Linked DNA regions of Caenorhabditis elegans. The protein of the gene in region 1 purifies or fractionates together with the protein of each later gene. This does not show direct contact. Each region holds a gene or a part of one and is shown in the gene's direction. Other genes may lie near its edges.

Evidence for each region.
Region 2: the proteins of cec-1 (region 1) and C14B9.10 fractionate together in Caenorhabditis elegans (co-fractionation; one large-scale study listed by BioGRID). This does not show direct contact.

What each region holds. Positions count from the first base shown.
Region 1 is NC_003281.10:8,422,406-8,433,454, forward strand, and holds cec-1 (Chromo domain-containing protein cec-1), read left to right. Parts: upstream 1-3,927; 5' UTR 3,928-3,934; coding exon 3,935-3,994; intron 3,995-4,214; coding exon 4,215-4,258; intron 4,259-4,431; coding exon 4,432-5,065; intron 5,066-5,683; coding exon 5,684-5,860; 3' UTR 5,861-6,178; downstream 6,179-11,049. Other genes in the region: sor-1 (Sop-2-related protein 1), read left to right, coding at 1-19; ZK1236.1 (Translation factor GUF1 homolog, mitochondrial), read left to right, coding at 6,936-7,160, 7,204-7,332, 7,383-7,547, 7,596-7,744, 7,800-8,739, 8,789-9,118; ZK1236.5 (uncharacterized protein), read right to left, coding at 9,266-9,496, 9,543-9,654, 9,706-9,809; ZK1236.9 (TPR_REGION domain-containing protein), read right to left, coding at 10,223-10,398, 10,445-10,550, 10,600-10,702, 10,755-10,855, 10,905-10,996.
Region 2 is NC_003281.10:8,126,672-8,137,392, forward strand, and holds C14B9.10 (Complex III subunit 9), read left to right. Parts: upstream 1-4,180; 5' UTR 4,181-4,193; coding exon 4,194-4,322; intron 4,323-5,546; coding exon 5,547-5,600; 3' UTR 5,601-5,765; downstream 5,766-10,721. Other genes in the region: rpl-21 (Large ribosomal subunit protein eL21), read right to left, coding at 2,920-3,163, 3,307-3,548; C14B9.2 (putative protein disulfide-isomerase A4), read left to right, coding at 7,004-7,194, 7,562-9,125, 9,632-9,733.

The sequences.
Region 1 (11,049 bases):
AACTTTAAATCCAACATAAATTTTAATTCAATATAAATTTGTAAATAATTATGTTTGTTACCAAACCATATTTTGTGTACCTCTTCCGTTTTTTTCCTCTGTCGGGTTTTTGCTTTTGTCTTATTTTTTACGCTTCTAGTAGTAGTGATCTTAAAACTTTGCTCTCATTTACCTATTTTTAGATGAGTTAGTTTCTTTTTTTGTCTGTTTTACACAATCATCACACAATAAACATTTTATTTGGAGAATCGTTATGCGAAGCGTCTGAAAACAAGAACAGTATTTAAGAAAGCAAGTAGCAATGAAGCAATTTTATAATTGGACCAGCACCAATATACTTTCAACCGGATGGTTGTGAAAATTTAAATTTTGAACTACCGCGCCAATCAGAATGTTTCCACCAATAACCAACTAAGCACGCAAAAAAGTTTCTTTTTTCAATTTGTCGATTTTTTGGTTACTACGAATTGATCGATATAATACAATAATTCCAAAAATATTGGCAGATCACATAAAATCCGCAGATTCATAAAATCTGTGTACTTCCTTTTGTAGATAGCACACGTTGATTTGTCAATCCAGATAATTTATAACTAAGCTTACAGAAGTTAGCAGTAGTATTTCATTTATTCCCAGATCCCTAATTCTGATAGTCAGCAAAAATTGGTAAACTTTTTTTTGGCAAAACTTAAATTCTTATACAATCTTGCAGAACAAACTTTTCATTAGAATTTTCAGGTAACGTCGATCAACTTGAACATTTTGCTATTGTGGTTAACCAATAGGATCTGCATAGGAAGATATTGCTTGTTGAGAAATTACTTGCACAAACTGTTCAACTAGCTAAAGTTTGTGGAACAATTGATAAATTTTATGGATATGACGTTTTAACGGATTGCCAAACTAATCGATATGTGATACATTTGAATAAACTTAAACTCTAAAATTCTAAAGTTTTAAGCTACACCGATATTACTATAGTGCGAGGACGTGCTAATAGTAAGTTGTGGTAAATATTTTAAGAATTCTTTTGATGTGGCAGCTGTGAAACAGACAACAATGAATATCCAACTAGTTAAATCTACAATTTCAATATTTGTAATCATTCTTGGATTGGTCAGAGACCCACATTGTTTGAGATTCTTTCAATATCAAAAGTAGCAAAATATTAGTCGGAAATTTTCATTAAAAAATCAATACATGTATAAAGTTTTCACTCAAAAGGACCAGGCAATTTGATGCCATTTTCCCTGTTGAAATTCTTAGTAGTGTGTAAAGTTAAAACTACCGATAAAATCTGGTTGAAAACTAAATCTTCTTGGAATATTCAATAAAAAGTCAAACGAAACAAAAGTAGTTGAATTATAGATTCAAGACTATTCCGAAATGTTTTGAATCATAAAGTCATAATTGCTACAATTATTTAATTATACGTTTTTGGGCGTCTTATTTTATTTTTAAAATTTGATATCTGAAATCTCATATTTTGTTTGTTCAACATGTGATGTTTCTCAGAGCCTTTGGGCATTCTATAGATGCTTTCGTACGAGAAGTAATGATAGCGTCAGAAAAATCGGGATTGATATCAAGAATTTGTTCAGTAAGTGGCAATCAAAAAATATTTGGCTCAACTGTGACTCAGATAACATACCGTACTTTTATCGCCCGGCATAAATTGTAAAATATTCCTATAGATTGAATACGGTATTATCCGCATGACAGAAGTATGCGCGTAAAATGTAGTATCAACTTTAGATGTCTTCGGAATAACATCATGTCTTTGAAAGAGCTTTTTCCATAAGTACAGTAATCCCATTACGTTTCTTACAGTCAACAAACCCAGAGTGGAAACAACAACTTTCCAACGATTATAGCATAATTCGTAAATTGTATCGGAGGAGTTGTAACTCTCCATACTCCATTTATAAAATGAAGTCATACCTGATATTGTTTCTGAGAAAATTTCACACTTTGTTTCTTGATAAAATTTGATATTTTTTATGTTTTTTGGAGCACCAAAACTACTGAATTCTTAACACACATCTGGTTTCTGAATAAGTTCCGCGTAGTATGTCTGTTTAAGCATCAAAATAGCTCAATTTTGTATTATTTTACTAAATTTTTGGCTAAAAAATCACTTGTTTTAGTCAAAATTGTACTGTCAAATTTTTGACGTGTGCGGCAAATTTCGAAAAATTCGGCAAATCTACTTTTTTGAAATTTGCCGTGCTCGGCAAATTCGGCAAATTTGGCAAATTTGCCGCACACCCCTGCTCCACACAATCAATTTTTCAACTTTATCAAGCTTGTTTCAGTTTCCGTAAGATTTTCGCATCTCCCAGGTTCTCTGAATTCGTCTTTCAGATCAAAACCTATTTGGAATTGACTACACAGTTTAGCCAAAGTTGTCACAAAAAATTTCGAAAATTGCCAGAGTTGCCGAACATCAGAATTTTCGTCAGCCGACTTTTGGCTAAAACTTGCGGCAGCTGCTGAAAAGCCAGACAGCCCTGTTCTGTACATAGAGTGACAGGAGTCTTTGTCCGTGTGAACTCTGTACTGTGAAACGTTAAATATTGAAATTAATCGGTTCGGTATAAAAGTATTGACTTTTTCAAAAAACTACAGTAACCCAACCAGTTGTAGAAAATACTCAATTGTTAGTGTAAACAGCTAGAAATTTGCAGCCGTGTGATGATCATCTGATGCGTCTCTCCCTTTCTCTTTTTATATTTCATATTTTCCCACCCCCTTTTCTCTCTATAAAATGCCATGTCAACCTATTGGGAAAAAGCAATAGACGTGCGAGAAAACAGAGAAAAGCACTGTGCTGTCCGTCAGTGAGGGGCTGCCTGCGTGGCCGGACAGCGAGAAGACTAGAGCCCGACTGCGAATAGTGTGTCAGAGCAAGAGGAGCAGACGCTGTCGAAGGTTATACACTATGGAAAGAGCGGACAGAAAAGAGAAAATAGACCTCCATCACACACAGAGAGACACAGCCCACATACACACAAACAAACCAAGGCGATGTCGTCGTCTTCTTCTCCTTATTTCATTCTCGTATAACTCTCTCACTGTCTTCCCATCTCTGTTAACTTGTCAAAATTTTCTCTAGTGCCAAAAAAACATTATTTTTTAATAGCAAAAAAAAAGTTTAAAATTTTAATAATTCTAGTGGTAATATACAGTCAAAATGGTAAATTTCCATAGTCACCACAAAAATGTAGTAAAAAAACATTTCAACAAAATTATTTTTTATCCAAAGTAACAAAAATCTTAAGGTTTCGAAAGTTCGAGGTGACGAACAGTACACAAAAGCTAGTGCAAACCTTTTGATAACCATTTTTCAAAATTTTTGTAAATTTTATGTTTTGTTGTTGCGATATTTGTATATGTTATTTTCGAAGCATTCTCATAATATATTTTTAAAAAACCCCTACATTCTAGAATGTGTTTTTTCTACAATTTTTTAGATTTAATGTAGTTCAAAAATGGTTTTTTCTCTTTTTCATTTTTATTTTGAAATTTCTTACAGGAGCAGTTTTCCAAACATACTCCGAAACTCAAAATGGCAGTAGTACCATCAGATTTTAGAAGGCTTTCTTTGATTCCTGAGGTATACTGCCTAAATATATTTTCCTTGAAATTTTCATTGCTCATGTTGTAATTTTAGTATTGTTTGAAATCCTGTTGCAACCCTGGTGGCTTTTAGTCAAAAAAAAAATAAAAATTATACAAATTATGTTAAGCCAGATATAACCATTTTAACTTTAGTCATTTTTATGTTCTACATTACATTTTAGCTGTTACTATTAAATTCTATCAAAATTAGCAACAACTTTAATAGAGAAAATTTTAAAACGTTTCAAGTTTACCACTCAATTTTTTTTTCACTTTTCCACTTATTTACCAACACCAATCTAATTGTAGAACCATGGCCGACGGATCAGAGCTCTACACCGTCGAGTCAATTTTGGAACATCGCAAGAAGAAGGTAATTAAGTTCAACTTTTACTTTTTTTTTCCTGCCTGGCACTCAGCCAAGTCATTCTTCTATCCTTCTCTAGTTTTTTTTTTGCAAACGCGTAATCAAGTTTGAGAGACGCAGAGACAAATAAACATAGGGAACGTTCGGTTTGAGATGGATTGGGAGAAATTGAAGAGAAAATAAAATGGCAAGATATATTTGAAATATGTAATTAACGATTTTGCAGGGAAAGAGCGAGTTCTACATAAAATGGCTCGGATATGACCATACGTAAGTTTTCTCTCTCGAATTTTTTCCAAAACATTTTCATAAAGTTTTTTGAAGCATATTTTTTTGATTCAATTAGTTATTCCAAATTATACCCATTTTCAGTTTTGAAAATTCCAGAAAATTTTAGTTATTTTTATTACAGTCTTGTTTGGACTAAATCGTGTAATTTTCAGTCACAACAGCTGGGAACCAAAGGAGAATATAGTCGATCCAACACTAATTGAAGCGTTCTTCACGCGAGAAGCAGCTCGTAAAGCAGAAATCAAAGCTAAAAAAGATAAAATGGCTGCTGGAAAGAAGGGTGCATCTTCGAAAGCTTCTGCTTCAGTAAGCAAAGCATCTGCTTCAACTCCTGCTCGTGGAGCTAAAGCTGCTCCAAAACCCCCACCCAAAAAATCCCCACCAAAGAGGCAGAGACTAGCAGGAGGTGATATCCGACCAGATAGTGATACGGATGAAGAACATTCTTCAGCTGATAAGAAATCAAAAGCAGAGGATGAAGAAGAAGTTGAAGATGATGAGGAGCCAGTGCCAAAGAAAAAGAAGGAGGTTCAAGAAGAACCTGAAGAAGAAGAGTCTGTAGAAGGAGAAGATGAGGAAGAATCCCAAGAGGTTGAGGATTTGAAGGAAGATGAAAAAATGGAAGAAGACGAGAAAGAAGAAGAGGAGGACGTACAATTAGAATCAGAGAAAAACGAGAAAGAAGAAGAAGAGGAAAAGGTGGAGGAAAAGAAAGAAGAGGAAGAGGAAGAAGAGGAGGAAGAGATTCAATTGGTTATTGTAGAGAAGACGGTCATTGAGACTACGGTATGTCATTTCATTTTTTATTACTTTTCTACTTTAACTGCTAATATTTTGGTGTTCGTTAGCTTTATCAAAACAATAAACTTTCAACAAATATTTTTAATAGTGTAAGTTTTTGAAAAAGCAAGTCAACTGATGTAGGAGAAGTCAAAGTTGAGGAATATGGGTAGAATACTGTACTTCTTAAATAATTTATATAATTTGAATACGGTTTTTAGAGAAATTTTCATATTTTTCCCCTCTAAGTACGTCTTAACCAAGTTGCCGGTTTCCGAAAAATTGACAAGTTCTACAACCCGACAAATTCTGTGTTCGGCAAATTCAGTGATTTTCAGTTTCCTAAAAATTTCAGCGTTAAGTAATATTGCTGGAAGGTTTATTTGCCGCACATCCTTGTTATTTTTTATCTTTCGGTTGTTTTTGAGCTGATTAAACAATTTTAATACCGAAGTATTGAAAAAACGTAAAACATAACTTTACTTAAAATTATGTTTATCTTTATTCAAAAATATGAAATTTTGCGATAAAAAGTTTTCCGAAATGCTACGACTTTTAAGAGCTATTTTTGAACGTACTTTAAAGATAATATTCCTTATAAAACTTAAAATAAAAATGTTTCAGATAGTGGAACCAGCTGTAGCTACTCCCGAGCCATCCGAGCCATCGTCTTCTGAGAAGGCTGTAGTAGAAAATGGATCTTCTTCTGCTGCTGCAGGAAATTCTGCTTCAAAACCAGAAGTTTCTGCCGTAGAAGTCGTCACAGTTGAAGACGACGATGATATTGCAATTATCGAATGAACAAAATATAAATAAAAATCAATAATCACTGATTCTCTATTATGTGTTTTATGAAAAATCTCTCTGTCTCTCTAATTCCCTTCATCATCCTTTCACTCGTTTCAACTCACTCTCAATATTATCATTTAACTTAAATCTTATTTTTCTGTCATCTCTTAAATTTGTTCCAGATAACCAAAGTCTTTAATCAGAAAATCATTATTTTGTCTATGTCACTCATTCAACATCAGTCGCCGTCGCCCTCACCCAAGAAAAAATTCCATGTTACAATTTTATTTACTGCATTTTTTTGAAATAAAATAAATACAAATATTATCGATTTGGAAAAGGCATAAACATTACAGAGAAGCACTGACACAAATTTCCAACAGAACAGTGTTGGTCTACCAAAAAACAAAACATAAAAATTCGGTATTTGATGAGAAAGAGGCTTATATATTACGGGAACACACAATTTTGAGAATATGTATTGTGCAATTAATTTAAAGTGCAAAATATCCAGTATCGAAAACTACAGCAATTCTTTACTTGTGTCAATTCGATGGAAGGGGAACAATTGAGAGAAATGTAGAAATGTCAGAGTAGAACAAAAAAAGTTAAGCTTGAACTGAAAATCTTAATAGTTATTATAATCGTGCAATGGTAACAAACATATAACTCCTTAATTTCTGGAGCCAAAATAGCGGCAGTGAGAGAGAAAGTGGAAAGCTCACCGAGTGAAAAAACATTCAATAACTGGAAACTTTGCCCCGCCCCTTTTCTTGGATTGTATAGAGTTGATCCACATTTTCCCCAGAGATAGCTAGAATTTGAACTCAAAGAACACTTGGAAATACTTTTTCTATTAAATGAAATATCAATTTTCATATATTTCTCTATAATTCACATTAATAATGAAGAAAAGTTGTCATTTTACAATTTCTAGGCCTGTGAAAAAATTTTCTCGTCACACAATGTCTGCGCCTCTCATCTCTCTTTTTGTATGACAGTAGAGCGCTTTTGTGACTTTTTAATTAGAAGAAAATTTTAACCAACAAGGTTATTTATCTTTAAACTTATCTATTTATATTACAGAATGCCTCGGCGGCGTCTATTAAAATTATTATTTATTGGAAAATTACGGGTTTCATGTAAACATTATTCAACCGCCGGCGACCCAACAAAATTGGTAAATCTCAGCGAATTTACACCGGATAAAATTCGAAATTTCGGAATTGTTGCACATGTTGATCATGGAAAATCAACGCTGGCCGATCGGCTTCTAGAAATGTGTGGTGCGGTTCCCCCAGGACAAAAGCAGGTTTTTAACTTTTTTACTTCAACTATTTCAAGTTTTATTTTAGATGCTGGACAAATTACAAGTTGAACGGGAACGAGGAATTACTGTAAAAGCTCAAACTGCAGCTTTACGACATCGTGGATATCTTCTGAATTTAATTGATACTCCCGGACACGTAGATTTTTCAGCAGAGGTTAAAAAAAGAATTAGCAAATCTCTAGAAAAAATCGAATCAATTTTCAGGTTTCCCGAAGTTTAGCAGTATGTGATGGTATTCTTCTACTCGTGGCTGCAAATCAAGGTGTTCAAGCTCAAACTATTGCGAATTTTTGGCTAGCCTTCGAGAAAAACATTCAAATTATTCCAGTTATTAACAAGATTGATCTTCCTGGAGCAGATATCAAGTCAGTGAGTTAGTTGATGTTAAAAATTTATTTTAAAGTTTTAAAACTTCAGGTTGAGACTCAACTGAAGAATTTGTTTGAATTCAATCCAGAAGAATGTCTTCACATTTCTGCAAAATCTGGGTTGAATGTGGATAAAGTTTTAGAAGCTATAATTGACCGTGTTCCAGCACCCACAGCAATTATAGACGCTCCTTTTAGGTAAGTTTAAACTAATTATTCTTTAAAAGCAATTCAAAATTTAAAAAAATTCCAGATCAATGATTTTCGATTCGTATTTCGATCATTTTCGCGGAGCAATTGCACATATTATGGTAAAAGAAGGTTCTGTGAAGAAAGGAGATAAAATTCAATCATATCAAAATGAGAAAGTATATGATGTATCAGAAGTTGGAGTGATGCGACCAGAAATGGTAAAATGCACAGAATTAAGAGCCGGTCAAGTTGGATATCTGGTGTGTAATATGAGGACAGTTAACGAAGCTGTGGTTGGAGAGACACTTTTCGCTGAAACAACTTCTCGGGATTCTGTAAAAACATTCGCTGAAATTAAAGGAGTGAAACCAACCGTATATGCTGGCTTATTTCCAGTCGAAACATCAGATTATGAAAGTCTAAAACAGGCTGTGGAACGATTATGCCTTAATGATCCTTCGGTTACTGTAATTCCCGATTCAAGCAAAGCACTTGGACTTGGATGGAGAATCGGGTTTCTTGGTGTTTTACACATGGAAGTTTTCGGAGCTCGTCTATCACAAGAATACGATGCAAGTGTGATCCTTTGCCAACCAAGTGTAGAATATCGAGCGAAGATTAAGGATAATGAGACGATTCGAAAAAAGCGGTATGATGGAATGGAGGAGATTCGAATTCTTGATCCAAGCAAGTTCCCCGATGAAAGTGATGTAGATAGCTTCCTAGAACCAATGGTAAAAGTCCGAATGATTGTTCCAAATGAAATGATGGGTACTGTCAATGGATTGTGCTCCGAATGTCGTGGTGAACGAGGAGAGATCACATCGATCGATTCGACTCGTCTCGTGATCCTTTGGAGGCTTCCACTTGCAGAAGTTGCTGTTGATTTCTTTGAAAGACTCAAGAAATTGACAAGTGGATATGCATCGTTTGACTATGAGCCCGATGGATGGCAGGATACTCGGCTGGTGAAACTTACAATTCTTATCAACAGTAAAGAGGTGGGAATTGGTTTTGTTTTAAAATTTTATCATTAAAATTTAATTTAAGGTCAGTGAATTCTCGCAAATCATACCAGCGGCAATGGCGAGAGATCGTGCAAAGATCTTAGTTCAACGTCTGAAACGAGAAATTCCACGACAGCAATTTGAAGTTACAATTAAAGCTTGCATTGGTTCCTCAACGAAAGCATTATCTCAAATTGTTATCCAGCCAATGAAACGAGACTTCTCGCAGCTATTGAAGGGAAACTTTGGTGGTGGAGGAATGGAACGACTCAATAAGAAACTCAGTCATCAGAAGAAAGGAAAAGAGCGGATGAAAATGGTTGGAAATGTGCAGATTCCTAAAGAAGCGTTCCTAAATGTTCTTAAGAGATAGTGTTTTTAAATATTTAGATACTAGAGTGTGTAGGTTAATTGTTTATTCTTGTTTTCATTTTTGTTTTTTTTGTTTTAATATAACAATTTTAAAGGTTTTTATTGTTCACTACAACAAAACTATAATTACAACAATTAAAAGATTCGCTCAGTCCCATCGTTTTCTTGCCGCCAATCCAGCTAAAGAATCTTCAACAGTTGTGTGGGTATGAAGAAGATTTCCAACATTAGCTTTCTTCCTGATAGTCGACTTGGAACCTTCCGTATTTTTTGGTTTTCCGGGCATTCGCTGTTCATCAAGCTTTTTGTATTCTTTTGCTCGCAGTTCTTCCAACGATTTCACATTCTTTTCAGTTTCCAGATACGTCAGTTCTGCATACTATAATTTAAATTATTAGTGATATTTAACTATCAATATAACTAACCGCTGTCGAATACGGGCGAGTGAGAAGATTCATCACAATTTGCTCTCTGGCAAGCCTCTCCCGTAGAATATTGACGCGATTTGCGGAAACTGGATAGTCTGGACGTCCGGTGCTGAAAATCAAGTTTTCGATTTGAAATTATTAAAATTCATTAAGAACATACGCTTTTTGTTGAGGAAGAATCGGTCCTCGGTATCCGACCTCCCAAATACGACGATTCCAATGACGTGTGTTGAGATTTCGATATAGAGCGCGGGATAATTGCATCTAAAACCATAAAATCAGTAAATTTAGACAAAATTAACAAGAAAAACACAGTAATCTAAAAGAAATCACCGAAAATACATATTCGGAGCAAAAATGAATAAAACAGAGATGTAGATTTACGATAAAGAGAGCGCGCTGTCGTTACTTCGGAGCGTCGTTGGAAATATTTTGGAATTTTGCCAAAGAAACTAAAAGTTGATGTAAAACATAGATCAAATAAAGTTCGAAATATGATTGAAACCTGATTCACATTTATTATTGTTCTGAGAAACCATGCGAAATAACAAATACCCTTTCTGGCCTAAAATATTCGAAATAAAAGTTAAATACGGCAACAAGTTGAGGAATTTGGGAAATAATTAGTGGAAAATGGCATTATTTACATAAATTTAAAAGACAAACGAATAAATGTTCTATAAGCTCCTAAGATGTGATCCAGCAGATCCGCCTCTCCTCGAAACATTTAATTCATTTATCAACATTTTGAGAGATGACAGCCAATACCAACTTTTTGCTATTTCATTTGGAATTTTCTTGCAAAATTGATCATAGTAGTTCATCGCTTCTTGATATTTCTCAAATTCAAGAGCTGAAAAATAATTTATTAATTTGAAAATAATCTTGTGTATTCTTACAATCAACTACATAATTCAGACTTTTTATAAGTTCATCTGATAATTTTTCTTCACTGATTAATTTTGCCAGAGAGCCAAATCTTAACTTAATGCCTTCAGCTTTTGTCTGAAAGTAGATGATTTGTATATATTCATTTAATTTATTTATTTAAAACCTGTTTATCCTTCATCTCTCGGAGCCTTTCAGCAGCTTTATATAGAAATGGCATAAGCTCTTCTCCACTCAGGTCAACCTCTCCTTGAGCTTTTTTCACCACTCTGAAACAAGAAAAAATAATTTCCAAAGTCTATTGAAAACCAAAAACTGTACCTTCCAGTTTGTTGATTTATCGATGAAGTTGGCTGTTCTACATAGTTTGGCAGTGTGAATTGAGAAATTCGCTCTTCCGAATTAGACAATGAAAATAGATTCTGAAATGTTTTCTTTTGCCTGTTTATAAAAGCTGTCACAGAAACATACTGGAGTTGTCGGAGTTCCTTCTTTATTGAATGATCCTGATGTCGCTGGTCTTGATCCAACAAATCGATTGTTGGGTTCGTTCATTGTGGAATCTGGAAATTAATAGTCTAGAGAGAAAATTGAGTAAAGTTAGAAAGATTTTAAG
Region 2 (10,721 bases), 300 kb from region 1:
TATCAAATATTAGAAAGATATTTCTAACGGACGTTGAAACACAAATTAGCTGGCTCAAAATCAAATTAATAGGTTCAACTAAAACTATGATATAGTTTTGGAATAACTATGGAAAATACCTATTTTCTGAGTACGAGAGTTCTATAATTAAGAAGCTATATCACAGAATCGAGAAATCGAATTCTACATGAATTTGATCAAATCAAAACTTTGATTTCATATCACATGAGGTGACGACAAATCTCTCTTCTCTATCAACTTGTTTGTTCAATCTCAGCAGCCGGACAACGATTTTTAAGTGTGAGATATATAGAACAAAGATATCAGAGAAAAACAAAAAGATGGTCCCTGAAATAGGACAGTACATGAACTTGCAAAGGTCCAATGCGAACACACACACACTCACACACACATTGAATTCGTTGTCGGACGGCGGGACGAGGACGACGAGTAAGCGCTGGGACGAGAGAGCGTCAATAGTGAAGAGAGTACAGAAAATGGCCTGCTGGTGCAGTGAAAAACGCGAGTGAGCGCGCGCAAGATGAGGCCTGCTGCTGAAGGTTGGCGTGCACGGGAATAAGGGGGAGACCTCAATTTGAACGTTACAAAGAGCCACGTACTAATTAAGAAAAATTGTTTGTAATCAGAATAGGTAGGGGTTTTATTAAGTAAGTTAAATATTGGAATATAGCTAAATTGATTTCTGATCATTGAACTTTGAAGAAAAGCCTACGATAGGGAAGGCCTTGGAAGGGAATCTTAAGATTATTTCAAACTCCCCATTTCGTGAAAACTTGAAATTTCATCTACATGACTTCATGCCTTATCGTAGCAACTGAACCTTTTTAAAATTATCACATCGCATTTTTTGGTAACTTATGTAGCGTAAAAATTGATTTTTGTACATTTTCAGTCAATAGGTATTCAAAAACCGCCAAAATTGGACTCTATGGACTGAAAATGTACCAAAATCAACAGAGATGCACACTCCATCTGATTGGTTCAAAAATGGGCCGATCGAATCGCTGATTGGTTGCAGGTCTTATTTTGGAAGAAGTTCAAACATGGGGAATAGCGAGAGTTGGAAACTTTTCAATCATACCTGATTATTTTTTCATTCTTCTTTTGTAGTATTTCAGCCTTTCGGTATCTATCGAGTATTTTTGAGTCAAATTCCCATTTTTCGAACTCCACCTTTACGATAAATTAATTTGGAAAATTACTGTGGTCAAAATAACATTACAATTTATCACCGACAATAATGTTCAATTGGAATACCTTCTAATAATAAGCAAAAATTGTGGCTTGTCCTTTAAAATTCTATCCCTTTTTAATTACATGGCTTCATTGTGAACGTTAATCTGTAAAAATCTAGTTTCAATGTGACGTATGTGATATGATAAACATGAGCCAGCGATTCGTTTTTTGGAATGCAAACACTTGATATTTCACTCGGTATATTATTGACTGTTCTCGTATTTTTTGAAAACATTGTTTCGTTGAGTCGACTGATTAGAAATTAGTTTCAGTATAGGAAATTAGATGCATCATCACAATTTTCGTACTTCAGAGGAACATCATGTTGCTTAATATCTTCTCTTGTTGTTTTTTGCTTTGCTCTACGGAGACCGCTGCTCTCACTTTTCTACAACGTTTAAAGCATTTCTCGTTGGAAAAGAGACACAGATAAACATACACGCCTCGCCAAGGACATTTTCCGCCTGTGTGACTAAAAGGAAAAGAAGAAAATATATCAAAAATGGAAGGAGGGAATGAAGAAACATATGATAATCCTGGAAATCTATGATTTCAGATTGTACTGTTTAAACATTACAATTATAGCGATACGTTTAACAACTTGAGGAATATTTCAGAAACGGTATGAAGCTCATTAAAACCAATGATGCCCCTTATGTCTGAAAATTAAAACTTTCCTGATCCAAAATGACCGAATACCATAATAAAATAATCGAAAATTTTTTAGATTTTATGAAATTTCCAGTCTAAAAACTTCCTGGGACTTTTTCCTAGTTTCGTTTTATATTCTTATTACCGTATTGACACAAAATACTGGGTGTGAAACATATTTGAGGCGCAAAATATCTCGTAGCGAAAACTACAGTACTTATTTAAATGACTACTGTAGCGCTTGTGTAGATTAACGGGATGGATTTTTTAAATGAATTTATTTTAGAATAGTGCCAGCGATATTCCACTTTTCTTCGTTTCTTCGTTTTTTTTTTTGACTAATGTTAATACTCTATCGATGGATCAATGATATTAATTAATTTTGAAAATCAAGCCCGTAAATCGACTCAAGCGCTACAGTAGTCTTTTAAAGAATATCTGTAGTTTTCGCTACGTGATATTTTGCGCAATACGATTCACAGAATTTCGTTTTCCCGAGATGCTAGTTCAAGACAATGAACACACAAGTGATAGGCCACCTTCAAAAAGGTAATTCACGGGGGTCTCTGAAACATACAACGCTTGGAAAATGAATTTTAAAACGCAAAGCATGATAGGATTATTTTCAGAGTTTCTATAACTGTCGGCGAAGACGTCGTATTTTGAGAACCAAGTGTAAGGGTTCATTTTTAGATAAATTCTTAAAAATTATGGGGTTATTCAAGTAGTGTCGGAAAATTAAAAAGTGTAGAAAAATTACGTCACAACCTTATTCAAGTAGATGAAAACATGTATTTAAATACATTTGCGACGTCACAAATGTATTTAAATACATTTTGCTACATTACTTGAATAACCCCATTAGGAAATTGTAAAGAAGCCAAGATTGGTAGAAAAATTATCACTAATTGTTGAGAAACTGAAGTTAGCAAATCACCCTGTTTTTTTCAGAGAAAATTTTACGCATGAATCAAGCAACAACTTTATAACAAACAGTTTATAAACAAGAAATCACGCAACAATCTCGAAACGGAGTGGGGCGAGAAGTTCTGGCTCATTGTTCTGGGTGGTGACGGTGTGAGCTCCTCTAGGGGCGACTGGAAGTCTCTTCAAAGCTGGGACTGGTTGTCCAGCTGACTTAGCGGCCTTTCTCTTCTCGTCATTGGACTTGACACGGTTCAAGAAGTCGGTTCTGCACTTGGATGGCTTGATGTGCTCGATACGGATGTTGATTCTCTTTGGAAGAATGTTTCCGCTGAAAAAATCAGTCATTTCAGTCAAAATGAGTTGGATTAGATTGCTTTTCAAAATTGAAAAAGACTATCATAATTACTTTCGAAAATGAAATTGTCAGCATGCTAGCATTGTTTTAGGTGTCATTCAAACTCAAATACTTACCGGACTCTCTTGTTGACGATGATTCCGACGGCTCCTCTGGTGACGTTGAAGATTCTTCCGGTTCTTCCGTGGTAAGCCTTGAATGGCATACCCTTTTGGAAAGCTCCATTGGTCTTGATATCGACAAGATCTCCGCGCTTGTACTGGGTGTAGTAGGTGGAGAGGTGCTCAACTCCGTGCTTGCGGAAGTCGCGAGCGAACATGTAACGCGTTCCGCGTCTGAGACCCTTGGAGTTAGTCATATTTAACCCTGAAAAAAATTTTTGATAGAGGTGTCAATATAGAGAACTACGAGGAACAAAAATGTAAAACAATTTGCCGAGAAACATTTACAAAAAAAGCACATGAACGAAAAATCGATTTTTTGAACATATTTCAGCAAAAACTAAGGCAGAGTTCGTTAAATACTAGAAAGATTAGCAAGTTTTTACACAGAGGCATAAAAATTGACGAAAATTTCACTATTTTTCACAGTTTTTACGGAAAAAAAGAGAAAAAATCTTTAGGCCAGTAGCATAAAAATTGTTTAAAGGCACACAGTACGGTAACACTCGTTTCAAGTGTGTCGCGCTTCCCATAGATCGCTGCGAGACCAAACCGTCAGACATGCTGCGTCTCCTTAAGAGTTCCGCACGTTTTTTCGTCTCTCGCCTCCATTTTTATTCGGTTTTTTTTTCAGACGGTTTTTCTAATAACAAAGTTTTATTTTAATAACTTTTCCCATTTTTCTCGATCTAGTACTAGCAATTAATCATTGAATTCCTTGAATAAGATCTTTCAAACAGTTTTCTTTTGATTATTTTATTTCCGTGTAGAAATTCCTCAATTTTTGTTGTATTATTTAATGTATGTATTCTACATCTATTGAAAGTAGTGTATATTTCAGAATGTCGCTGGGTACCATCGTCTACAACACCGTTTCTCGCCGTTTCTCCACCATCCTTTTGGCTTCCGCCTTCGGAGCCTACACCTTCAACTACACTTTGGAAGGGCTCACCAACTTCTATTGGGATACTGTGAGTTTTAATTTTTATGAGAAACATGAAAAATACTGAAATTTTTCAATCGAATTTTTGTTTCATATCTGTTCTGATCAATTGGAACCCCCAAGAATTTAACATTTATTCAAATGAAAATCAGATTCCATTTTTGATTTTTTCTTCAGTTTCGATGAGGACTTTTCCGTTGATCTAAAGAAATCATAACCCTTCGAAGACAACCAAAACTTTCATAAGTGTAAGATGACAGAATATAGTGCTTTTCACTCATTTTTTTTTTTGATGAATGAACCTTCCGAAAACTGGAAGTGTAAAAACTATCTCCAATAAAAACGATTCGCTTCGGGTTCATCTCTGAAAATCCTGACAATCGCATTTTTGACATTTTCATGTTTATAAAAATTGTATAGTTGCCAAAACATAAAATTTATATTTTAATTTCCTCCTTACAATTAGTTTACACAGAAATTTTAGTAATTTGGCTATTTGGAAAAACGAGAGAGATGCACAAAATCGTTTTTTTTAACGAAACCGACAAGTTTTTGAAAAAACTCCAAAATAAATTATTCTGGTACCGAATTCAATATGTGTATTTTGGTCTACACACTAATTTATACAAAGTTTTGTTCGATGCACCGTTACATAAATATTGTAAAACCAAAAAACGAAATATTTTGATTTTTCGATTTTCTGAGGTTTTGAAAAACAAAATTTTCTTCTTGTTTTTCGGTTAAAAACCCATAAAAACTAGTTAAAATTCGAAATTTAAAAAAAAGTATATCTGTATTCTATAATTGTGCTTTTTCCCATTTTTCAATTTTGGAAATACTCAAAAACTACTATTTAAAAACTCGATTAATGCAGTTTTCTAATTTTAATTATCTACAATCATCTGAACTTTTCACAAAAATTTAACTCTTTCCAAAAATTTTTTAAATTGAAAAATTGATTTTAAAACTGGAAAAAATCATCCGAAAGGATATACAGTTTAATATCACGTTTTCGACCAGAAAATGAAACACATTTTTCCGTTCTTCTCTGAATGAAAATTTGTCTTTCTGGTTTACCGAGTACAAAAACAGCCATTTTTAATTGAAAAAATAAAAATCCGTTTTTTTCACTACTATATTTATAGTTTTTAGCATTCCTCTATAATAAAAACAAATGAATTTTAACCAAAAAAATTAAAGACTGGAGAAACATATTCAAAATGGTATATTATCCTATTTCGATATTTTTTAGAAAAACTCCAACAAGCAATGGAAGGACATCAAGCAACAATTGGCTCAGGAATAGACTTCAGCAGACGAATGAGCAGGCTCCGTTTCGATGGCGTTTCTAGCAATTTTATAGTCTCCTTTATTTTCTTGTCGAGATAAAATTATCGGTTTTTGAACCGTTTCTTTAAATTTTTGTTGCGAACTTCTGGATATGCCAGATCCAATGAATGATTGTAATATTTTTAAATGTGTCCCTCTTGTCCAATGAGTTTGCAAACTGGCAAGAAATGGTTCCGCATTGTGATGGTGATGCCGCGACGAACAGAGTCTGACTGCAAATATTTACCTCCGGATAAAGCGGTGCCTGATTGAAAAATGGAGGAGAGTGAACGCGGAAAGAGAGTAATTAGAATCGGAGGATCTGACAAAAAGGAGCTGGGCAGGGCAGGTCAACTGTGGGCAAAGGACACGCAAACATCAAAAAAATACTATCAGCCGACACGGAGACGCAGATATGGCTCCGTCGTCGGTGATCTCACAAAATGACAGTATAATATTTGACGAGTGTCGGACCGTACCACGTACTGTGACGGCCAAATAGAGTCGGAGAAATAAGAAGGGAGGGCAGTTACTACTCGAGTATAGGCGACCTCTCTCTCCTTTTCTCATTCACTAGTTTTGTATGGTTTCATCTATCGATTCAATGAATCCTTTCATTTCCTCGTTCGTAAATTCAACATTTTAATTTTAGTTATTACAGGAAATTAGAAAAGTATTTTTTAAAATTCTTTTTACTCTTCAAAATTGTTTTTTAAAGAAAAAATGTATTTAATTTCAACAGGTGCAAACAGACGTCGAGAATATACTTTCAATATTTATATTTATCGGCGTATTACTGAGATCCGGAAGTTTGCGATTGTCGTACAAAAGATATTGCCCGGTCTCGAAGCGACATTATCTCATAAATGTAAAAGAGTGTGTGCCTTTGAAGAGTACTGTAGTTTTCAACTAGTTTGCTGTCGCTGAATTTTTATTTATTGATTTTTCATAACGTTTCTTCCCTTTCCTCGAAGTGTGTAGTTTTTCTATATAATTTAACGAAACAGGAGAAAATAACGATGAGCTGGAAACTACAGTATCCCTAAAAGACGCACACTGTTCGTTTAGTCGTTTCGAGACCGGGAATCGCATTTTTGGGGAAAAATCGCAAAATCTCGCATCTAGATAATATTTAAATTTTGTGCCACACATTTCCACGTCGGAATTTTTTCTTTTTCCCGTACAAACAACCATTTCGGTCTGCGCCTCTCAGTTTAGTACACGTGTATCAGGCATTTCATTATCGTCGCCCTTCGCACAAACTAGCCAACTGGCTATTGACATACTTTTTGTCTAATATACTATCGCTCCCTGTTCGTTTTCTCCCGTACTTTTTATTTTGTTTCTTCCAACAAGTAAATGCTTTTCAGGGTATCAAAAATGATGTTCGACCGGCGCTTCTTCGCACTGGTCGTCCTTCTCTGTGTATCGGCAGTTCGTTCCACGGAAGATGCTTCAGATGATGAGCTGAACTACGAAATGGACGAAGGAGTCGTTGTGCTCACTGACAAGAACTTTGATGCCTTCCTCAAGAAAAATCCAAGTGTTTTAGTGAAGTTCTACGCTCCATGGTGAGTTTTAAAAATCAAGAAAATTGGTTTCAAACTAAAAATTGAATTGAAAAATTCAAATCGATTTTTTATCGTAGACGTCTAAAATGAGATTTTCCGCCATATCGTAGGCGAGTGGGTCTCACCAACAAGCTACATTAACTCATGTTGATTTATGGGCTGCTAACCTAATTATTATTTTAAAATTAAATACAAATAGCAGCCTATGAATCTACACGAGTTGAAGTAGCTCGTTGGAAGCGTGGCGAGATGGCGACTATTCTCATCTTTAGACGCTTCATAATAAAAGTTTAAAACTTTGGAATTTTTTTTTACAAATACATAGATGCAAAATCTCATAATCTTTCACTGATTATCATTTTTGTAGGTGTGGCCACTGCAAGCACTTGGCTCCGGAATACGAGAAAGCATCTTCAAAAGTGTCAATTCCACTGGCCAAAGTCGATGCAACCGTCGAAACAGAACTCGGAAAGAGATTCGAAATTCAAGGATATCCAACTCTCAAATTCTGGAAAGATGGAAAAGGTCCAAACGATTATGATGGAGGTAGAGATGAAGCTGGAATTGTTGAATGGGTTGAGTCGAGAGTTGATCCAAATTATAAGCCACCACCAGAGGAGGTGGTTACTTTGACAACTGAAAATTTCGATGATTTCATTTCCAACAACGAGTTGGTTCTTGTTGAATTCTATGCTCCATGGTGTGGACATTGCAAGAAGTTGGCTCCAGAATATGAGAAGGCTGCCCAAAAGTTGAAGGCTCAAGGATCAAAGGTTAAGCTAGGAAAGGTTGATGCTACAATTGAGAAGGATCTTGGAACCAAGTATGGAGTCAGTGGATACCCAACAATGAAGATCATCAGAAATGGAAGAAGATTTGATTATAACGGACCACGAGAGGCTGCTGGAATCATCAAGTACATGACTGATCAATCGAAGCCAGCTGCTAAGAAATTGCCAAAACTGAAGGATGTCGAACGATTCATGAGCAAAGATGACGTCACTATTATTGGATTCTTTGCCACCGAAGACTCAACTGCATTCGAAGCATTCTCTGATTCCGCTGAAATGCTCCGTGAAGAGTTCAAAACAATGGGACATACATCAGATCCAGCTGCATTCAAGAAGTGGGATGCCAAGCCAAATGACATTATTATCTTCTATCCATCTCTGTTCCACAGCAAATTTGAGCCAAAGAGCAGAACATACAACAAGGCTGCTGCCACATCAGAGGATCTTTTGGCTTTCTTCCGTGAACATTCTGCACCACTTGTTGGAAAAATGACCAAGAAGAACGCAGCAACAAGATACACGAAAAAACCATTGGTTGTTGTATATTATAATGCTGATTTCTCCGTTCAATATAGAGAAGGAAGTGAATACTGGAGATCCAAAGTTTTGAATATTGCTCAGAAATATCAAAAGGACAAGTACAAGTTCGCTGTTGCTGATGAAGAGGAGTTTGCCAAAGAACTTGAAGAGCTTGGACTTGGAGATTCTGGACTTGAGCATAATGTAGTTGTATTTGGTTATGATGGAAAGAAATATCCAATGAATCCAGATGAGTTTGATGGAGAACTTGATGAGAATCTTGAAGCATTCATGAAACAAATCAGTAGTGGAAAGGCCAAGGCTCACGTGAAGAGTGCTCCAGCTCCAAAAGATGATAAGGGACCAGTTAAAACCGTTGTTGGATCCAACTTTGATAAGATTGTCAATGATGAATCAAAGGATGTACTTATTGAGTTTTATGCTCCATGGTGTGGACATTGCAAGAGCTTTGAATCAAAATACGTTGAATTGGCTCAAGCTTTGAAGAAGACCCAGCCAAATGTTGTTCTCGCCAAGATGGACGCCACGATTAACGATGCTCCAAGCCAGTTCGCAGTTGAAGGCTTCCCAACTATCTACTTTGCTCCAGCTGGAAAGAAGGTAAAATATAATTTGAAAAAAAACTCGTTCAGAAGCTATGATTCATATGCTGAATTTTGCGATTATTTTCGTTTCAAGAGTTACGGTACCCGGTCTCAAAGCGACCGATTTTTTTAAACTTAAAAGAGCTTGCGCCTTTAAGGAGTACTGTAGTTACTGAATTTTCATTCATTTTTATACCTTTTTCATCAGAATTGGAAGTATCTGAAATAAGTTTTCAAACAAACAGGTGAAAAAATCCCGAAAATATGAGTATTTGGCAAATACAGTAATCTTTAAATGGGCAAACTTTTTTGCATTTAAGAAAATCGTTCGTTTACCACCCCGACCGAGTACCTTATTTTTGGAGCAAAATTGAAACTTTTCACATGCCGGTAATAATAAATTCCAATCTCATGATATCCCGCCTATACCGTAACCAACGTTTGGAGTACGGTAGGTTACGGTATGATCGCAGTGAGACTTCGGATCCTTGATAGGCCCATTTTAAATAAACTAATTTTCAGAGTGAACCAATCAAATATTCTGGAAATCGTGATTTGGAAGATCTCAAGAAGTTCATGACCAAGCACGGTGTGAAGTCGTTCCAGAAGAAGGACGAGTTGTAAACAATTCAGAAGGAGCAATAATTCTGTGATATTTAAACTAATTTCTCTTTGTTTCTTTGTTATGAGTATTTATTTTTAGTTCTTGTTCATCATGCTTTTTTTGTCACTTTTCCCTCCCCAATCCCATATTCCTCTGCTTTTCTCTCATTTTCGGTTACGTGTATTAATTGAATGTATACGACGACGACAGTCACTAGTTTCGAAATAACTATTTTACGAGGATGAATAAACACACTGATCGCTGAGCGACGCTCCGAGCACTTTTCGAGAAGTTTCTAAGAAGCCACTTGACCGAGAGAGAGGGAGAAAGAAAAGCTTGGCATAGAAATGTGCTTGTGTTTATTTGAACTGTTAAAAGTGTTTGACGGGGGCGAAGTCACTGGGGAAACCTCGAGATCAATAGGACACGTGGCAATTTGAATTTTTGGATAATTGGAAAAGCAGTACCCGACTAAAGATCCGAATTTGATTTTCAGACATTTTACTGCAAACTTGATTACACACGGTAATTTTCCAAAAGTTTTGTGCATTGAATCCCGAAAAACTTCACAAACGCATAATATTACAACCCGATCTATGAGCAAAGTAAATAGAGAGAATCAGGCTGAAAGCTTATTGTGATTAATGAACATTAGGAACAATGCTGATTTCAATTTGAAACATTTTTTTTTCAGATCGAAAATCAGTTTTTTCAGATCGAAAATCACATTGGATCTTGACATTTTCAAGAGAATTATTAAAATTTAAATGGCTATTTGAAAAGTATTGATTTTCTGAAAGATAATAACTACTTACCATCTATGTCGTACCTGACTATGCCAATTATTTTCAACAATTGTTTATTTTAAAAAATTTTTGAAGTAAGCTTAAAACAAACCCAGGACCTCTGAAATGTACCAAGTTTGGAAACTAATTCCAAGTACTGGTAATAACAAAAATTTTGAATTCGAGGCGGATAAGCGCCAGTTGGGAGTTTTCTGATTATAAT